Linked DNA regions of Caenorhabditis elegans. The protein of the gene in region 1 interacts with the protein of each later gene in a pairwise test. Each region holds a gene or a part of one and is shown on either strand. Other genes may lie near its edges.

The links. Proteins that work in one complex are often made in the same cells at the same time.
Region 2: the proteins of F23A7.4 (region 1) and rrc-1 interact in a two-hybrid assay, tested with the Caenorhabditis elegans proteins (one large-scale study listed by BioGRID).

Annotation. Positions count from the first base shown.
Region 1 is NC_003284.9:16,210,713-16,213,340, reverse strand, and holds F23A7.4 (RT_RNaseH_2 domain-containing protein), read right to left. Parts: upstream 736-2,628; coding exon 529-735; downstream 1-528.
Region 2 is NC_003284.9:9,828,241-9,833,071, reverse strand, and holds the start of rrc-1 (GTPase-activating protein rrc-1), read left to right. Parts: upstream 1-1,783; 5' UTR 1,784-1,861; coding exon 1,862-1,932; intron 1,933-2,768; exon of another isoform or gene 2,769-2,917; coding exon of another isoform or gene 2,918-2,937; intron 2,938-3,320; exon of another isoform or gene 3,321-3,405; intron 3,406-3,836; coding exon 3,837-3,986; intron 3,987-4,221; coding exon 4,222-4,351; intron 4,352-4,400; coding exon 4,401-4,484; intron 4,485-4,831. UniProt on the Caenorhabditis elegans protein: Functions as a GTPase-activating protein (GAP) for ced-10/rac-1 and CDC42.

The sequences.
Region 1 (2,628 bases):
AAAACGATAAATGCAAGCGGCAAGCTCGTACGTCTCAGAATGTTGAGTAGTGTCGGGGTACTGCAGTGAGACTATAGGGGTACTGTAGGAGTACGGTAGTACTGTAGTTTTGAACATTTGTGGGATATATATCTCCGTATTATTAAATGTTGGTTTTCAGATATCGGAATTAAAGAGTGCACTGAAATTTTACTTTCGAGAGAAACGTAAATGCCGAGTTTTCAAGAATAACAACAACGCGCGAAAGCGTAAAAAACAATTTTTTTTTGGGAGTGGAGTTAAGCTCCAACTCTAGAATAGCCCTTTCGATTTTTGTTTCGTCCATCGACATAAGACATTGGGTTTGATGGAAGACCCAATGAATACTCAACAATCTCCAGGCTGAGCAAACCTGGGGGGACTAGGCCGGACTTGAACTCGTGACCTTCAAAATTAAAAAATGCAGAATTAAAAAATGCACCGATGTCGTGTTTTTGAGGAAAACGAAAAAGCGCGAAAACGCAAATTTTTTTTTTTTTGGGAGCGGAGTTAAGCTCCAACTCCAGAATAGACCATGCGATTTTTTTCCGACACCACCATCGACATAAGACATTGGGTTTGATGGCAACCCAATGAATACTCATCAATCTCCAGGCTGAGCAAACCTGGGGGGACTAGGCCGGACTTGAACTCGTGACCTGTCGATTGCAAGTCAGTGTTGTAACCAACTGAGCTATCGACGCCCCATTGCAGCATGACTTAATTGGAATTTACATAACCGCTCGCGGAAAACGATAAATGCAAGCGGCAAGCTCGTACTTCTCGGAATGCAGAGTAGTGTCGCGGTACTGCAGTGAGACTATAGAGGTACTGTAGGAGTACGGTAGTACTGTATATATTCATTCATTCACCAATCCTTTCATAAAAATGGCGTGATATTTGGAAAATAAAATTCACCAGAGAATTATTACTGTAGGTTCTTATAATTTGCAATGTTACGTTTAATATTGACTTGTTTTGCATTGTTTGCAGATTCTAGAGCAGATTCTAGAGTAAGAAATCGAGAGAAAAGATCTACAAACAAGAATTGTTGTTGCAGAGTTTTGGACAATAGCAGTGCACATTTGGGCAGCCTATCGTCCTCTTCCCGGTTTTTCGGCGCAATAATTATGGTCGTTTTATTGCAAATCGACATCTATAAATGTTTTTTCTGTTTGTTTTTGTAGATATTGGTATGATCTCCTTTAATATAAACTGTTTTACTAGTTAATAATTATTTTTTAATTTTCATTGTAAAACTGCTTCAAGATAAGAACTTTATTTGTATTTTTCAATATTCCGACTATCATGTACACCATGGTAAGTAGGATGGTAGGGTGCATTCTTGGTACATCAAACGGGCAGTTTTGCGCATAATGACGTACACTTCTGCAGTTATGCAATTTTGGCCAATGATAAGTCGGTGATAAGTGTTTTCAATCAGAACTATATATTTTAGTACACATGTAAGATTAGGCAAACCTTTAATTCCAATACGTTGTCTATTTATTTCTACCCAAATTGATTTTTTCAAACAATTTTTTAAACACTAGCCATAGCCAAAATGGGTTACTTATACAATAGCTACTATCAAATTTCAGTTGTCCAGAGTAAATTGTTTCTTCTCTCTAATCGCGTAGTAGTTCTGAATCTTAAAAATCTGAATCTTAAGAAACTTTAAATGAATTAACACATCCTACACGTATTTTTCCCCTATTTTTCCCCTCCCTCTGTTATACAGCGTTTTCTAGAACTCGTATTAAAAATTTATAAGAGAAAATTCCTAAGATGGCTTTTTTAGAGTTCAAAATTCCGCCGCTTCAATTTTATGTGATCTTTCGATTGGTATAAGTATTATCCTTCTCGGTTTTTCGGATATGCAGTTTGAGCATCTTGGTACATTTTCTCCCGTCTCCTCTCTCTCTCCCCTTCTTTGCCACTTTTTGGCTGGGTTCCAGATATCGATCACACAAAAACCTATTACGACGCGTTTAGAGCGCTCATCCCATTCCAGGTGGTGCAGTTTCTCAATAAGTAATTTTTACTAGCTAGCCGATGGTTGTTTATTTGTGAGCTTTATTCCATCAGGCAGTTTCTCATTCATTTATCTGGTTAATTTCTTATTCACATTGACTTAACTTTTTCCAATGTCAGCGGATCTAGCACAATCTATTTTCATTCTTTTTTTTCTTCAAGTAAAGATATAAATTCAGACAACGTTATTTTTGCCTATTTATCTTGTACTGAATGTAACGCCGCGCTCTAGCCACCTCCAATTTCATCATTTGTACCTAAACATTGTCCCTCTTGCTACATAATAGCATTATGAAATCCTACGCGCATTTTATCCTATCCACCTATTCTCCTCCTTTCTTCGCCCATTTTTGCAAGATTCCAGGTATCGATTTTTTTATTGCACAGAAATCTGTAACGCCGCGTTCAGAGGACCCCCTCACTCAACTGCAGACTATGCATTGCTTCATTGTGTCATTATTTCTCTCACTGTATTAGTTGTTCTTTTCTTTTGGCCGAATTGAGGCATTGTCTAGTTTAGACGTCTAGTATTGCCAAGTCTAGAATTATTTCTCTTGTTCACATCCTAAGTATACT
Region 2 (4,831 bases), 6.4 Mb from region 1:
TATGTTGGTAACTTTTTTGTCATAACACATTTTTCGAACTTTGTTGTATTTTTTGTCAAAAAATGAGTTCCGTATTTTTTCTATTAGTTTTGCAGCCTCTAATAGTGTTGCAGTCTTTATTAGTCTTTCACCTCTACGGGTCAATCCAAAATTTGTCTTACAAGCAAGATTGATTCAGGAAACACGGTAATTCTTTCTACAATTGTTCTGGCACTATATAATATGTTCTAGTAAGGTTATTTACAAGTTACAGCTCATAATATTACTAACAATTTGTTTTCCCTTTTGCACAAATACATTTTAATTGTCAGATCAACTTTAGGTATCCATATTTCTTAAATTACCAAAGAGTAGTTGAAAAAAAAGAAGCTAGAGCATATGACGGTCATTTTTGTCTGCAAGAACATTTGAACCAGCAAGCCCGTCTCACCCAATGCGGTGATAGTGTCAGGTGGTAGATTTGTATCGAGTGCTCCACAGAAGAGCAGCAGCTAAAGAGCATAGGGGTAGAAAAAGAAGAACGTATGTGTGTGTGTGTGCTTCGCCAGAATTGTGATACGTAGAGACAAGACGACGGAGATTGGTTGATGAGACGAAGAGAGAAACTCGGGACCCGTTGCTATCTTCTTTATCTTTAGACCGAAACTTTGAAGATGAAGAAGATGAAGCGTCCGGAAATATAACACACTAATAACCCTTCGTTTTATCATTTTTGACTCAAAATCATACTGATTAGCATCAATCGTTCAACCAGTTCTTTCTCATCCTTAACCATCCATGAAAATCCTGACACCTGTTGTGCCTAGAATTTGGTTTCAAATGGCTTGTACTTTCTCTCCTCCTTAACAACAGCAGCTGTCCACTGCGTTAGAAAACCGGAAACCCGGCACGGATCCGTGTTGGCTGCTGCCCCTGAAGAGCTTGGTTATCTTTTTTGCTAGGTGTCACAAGTGTTGATGAATTTTTGGAACCAACCTGAGCTTTTTTTCTTTTTGCGTTTTTTGTTCTACCCAGTCGAGTGATAAACGTTAATTGTATGTGTTCTAAAAAACAACACATTTTCCGAGAAAATTATGTGAAATTTGTGTATATTTAATCAAAAGTTTAGAAGCATAAAGAATATAATATAAAATATAAATTGCTTTATTTTATTTTTAGTTTTGGTTTTTTGTGTAGAATTATACGACCCTTTTTAAATTTTATGATAAATTTCTAATAATCCAGATAAATTTTGCTCTGGAACCATATTAAATTTGAGTGTATGGCTTCAAAACCTTCTTTTTTTAATTTCAAAAATAGAGTTTCCACTTAAAAGTTACAACATCAGAAACTCACTTCCTCACAACGTTTATCTTCAAATATCACGAAACGAGGTACATATATATCTAAAATCTTAATCATAATCTTCAGTTTTATCCTAAAACTCTCGAACAAGATGTTTCTGGCCACATGATTTTTTAACACATGTCTGAAGATTCTTGGTTGTTGGCTCCTAACAACGCCTGCCTTCCTATGTCATTGCTCAATTTTTGACAACTTCCAAACAGAACCCATATTTACTCCTTCAGTCACACGACAATTTAACTGATTTTCCTGATTGCCCCCTTTTCGTCCCGCTTTCCTAACTAAAAGCCGTCACTTCTCATTTGCCAACACAAATTGACATGATGTTTGCATGTAAATAATCGAACCGATCTATAAGCAAAGCGTGTGTTTATAACATGTATTTTTCCTCAAACACCACACGTTTACCTTTTATTCTCATGACTTCCGGTTGCCATTTTCAGGAAGGATAACGAGGACAACAAAAACTGGTAAAAACATTTGAAAAGCAACGTATTCATTTAAAGTGATGTAAAAAATGGAAGGCATCGAGGAATCATTTGCACCTTTATCTCCCAAAAGCCCATTTGCACGCAGAAACGGAAGAAGGTAGATTTTTCGAAATTTTTTAGATTTTCAAACTTTAAAAAATTTAATGATTTAGGTTTGCCAGAATCCTAATGCACTCAAATTTAACATTTCGTTTTCAAAATACTTATCTTTGCTTGCGCAAAAGATATTTTGAATAAAGATTTGAGGTCTGGAATTAACCATTTGAGCTAATCGGAAAAGAATTAAGAGAAAAACGGGCGAAACCCGACATTTAGATTCATCCAACTTGTTTCAAAAGCTTTCAAAAAAAGTATAATAATTTTTTAAGCACCGTGTTAATGATGCAGGGTGGCCTATAATTGTGGGCCATCGTGTAACGTAATTTCCCTTCTGTTGTGGAACTTTTTTTCAAAGTATATTTGAAACATAAATTTAATTTTATGTAGACAACTTCAATTTTACTGTAAAAACAACAATTCACATCATATGCATAAGAAATTGTTAAAAGAAGAGTAACAGTTTGGTTTGTTTTTTCTTCGTGCTACAACTGATTCTACAATCTGCTTAAAATAAATATTTTTACCAAGACGTCTTGAAGCAATTCTAAGAGTTGCAATACAGACCTGTCTTGTATTTTTGTTCTTGAAAAATAACTATGTGAAAGGTCTAAAATTCTCCAGTTTTACTAAAAACGTTTCGAAACATTGAATTGCTTCCAACAACCTTTTGATAAATGTCCTTCCATAAATCTAACCAGTGGCCCACATTTTGCAATTTGATTTTTCTGCAATCACTCTCTGGTCCATCTCTTTCTCCCCTTTCATCCCAATCAAAATTGAATGTTTCATCGCTTATCCGCTTGTCTACCGCCACGACCGGCGAGTGCAGCTAGCGTACGATGTAGTGAGCGTGGGATTACACACTCACCAACAGAACCTTGAGGAGAGACCTCTCGGCTCCTATCTATTCCATCTCAATATTTCATGTAATTGATTGAATGACTTTATTTTGGACTTTATCTATTCACTGACTACTTGCAAAGATGGATCCAGAAATACCAGGGTACAAAATATGTTGAATTTGTAGTAGAATGTTTATAAATCAAAAAATTCACTTACGGTCTCCCTCATTATATCCATTTATTTGCAAAAAATTTAGTTAGGTGAATTTAGAAAAAGGTGGTTTTTGTGTTTATCGGTTGCCCAGATAAAACAGTGCAATAAAATTGGAAAAATAATGAAGTGTATTGTTGTACATAAAAAATTTACTATTGGTTACAGTGCAACATCGAGTACTGTGAGTTTTTGAAAAATATTGATATCAAAAATTTATTTTTTTTACCGTTACAACAAGAATGGCAGGCGTTCGGCAATTCGCATCAAATTATCCACCAATTTTAGCAATTCAAGCAGTTTTCAACGAGATGCACATTTTTCAGAATCAGTGCCCCGGTGGCCGAGCGGTCGAAGGCGTGAGACTTATGATCTCATTGGGTTAAACCAGTCGCGGGTTCGAATCCCGCCCGGGGCAATATCCTTTTTTTACTATTAAATCAAGTTTTACCAAAGAATAACCATTAAAAGAAAAATAATTCGAACTGTACATTAAATAATTGTAACTACTTCAGCCCTTTTTAACCAAGTTTAGGCCACTATAGAAACATTTTCAGTGCAAAGTTTTCAGCGCATCCCCAACTTTAATTTATTTTACCCAACTTTAGCCAGTTTTTCACTAAATGCATTCCTAAAGCTGATAAGGTTGGTAGATATGTTGCGGCGTTCTTTCAAGAAAATATCTTTACATTTCTTCACCACAAACATTTTAATTGGAATATTAATGTTTTAGTATCAACTTTGTGAGTTGAAAAATTTTTGAAAGAAGCAAATTTTGCTAGCTGGAAATAATTCATATACTACTTCACTGTTTATTTCGTTGAATATCAACAATTTATTGTGTTTCAGTCTTCGCATTCAACGACTAGTCGACTGTCAACACTTCCATTATTCGTCTGTTGAATTGGGTCCCGTCCGTGTTGCCATCATCGCAATAAACGCTGACGAGAATGCAACAGAGCGGATAAAAATGCGTGTGGAAAGTGAATCAAATTCATGGTGAGTTGGTCATTCCTTCTGTTTCCAATTTGTCTTCAAAAATTCGTGCTCCGTGGTGTTTCTCTCGGTTTTTCTTTCAATGTTCTGCCACACAGAAATCAAACAAAAAAGCCACGAGTGAAGTCTCATGGGAGATGAGAATAAAGGCTGAATAAAGTTAGTACGAGGAAGAACAAAAAAGAAAAAAGAAAGAAAAACGGAAACTTGAAAGGTTTTCCATCATTGATTCATTCAGGCTTGTCGAACGTTCTCGGGAGGATTGGGCAGTCTTCGACAGACAGCTGCATCGTTGTGTGTTCGAACGAAGGCATTCACGACTTGACGAGCTGTTTCCTCTTATTCATCTGGAAACGGCAAAGTTCGAGGTGACGGCTTCTTTTCAAAATCACTAGTCATCACATTTGATGTTTACAGGAAGTTCTTGTCAAGTATACGGAGCGATTATCGGAACTCACTGGCAGCATTATAACGTGCTATCCTGTTCTGAAATTTTTAGAAGTAAGCGAAATTGTTTTTAACTCCAAACTTCAATTTAATTTAAATTTAAAACTGGCTATGGTTTAGACTTTTTACAGTATCTCTTCAAATTAGAAAAGTTAAATTAAAAAAGATTCGAATAAACCAAATGAACCCAAGACGATAAATATTTCATTTCAAGTATTGCAAACATTTCAGATAGGAAAATTTGTTTTCCTTTCTGACAGAATAGTAAGTCTGTATTTCAAAGAGTTATTCAATTATTTGAACCTTTCTCACAAAATTGGTGAGTTCTAGTACAACCTTGAAAAAATATCTTGTTCTTCTTATGATTTTGACACCACTCGCTCTTAACTGCAGTGCATATT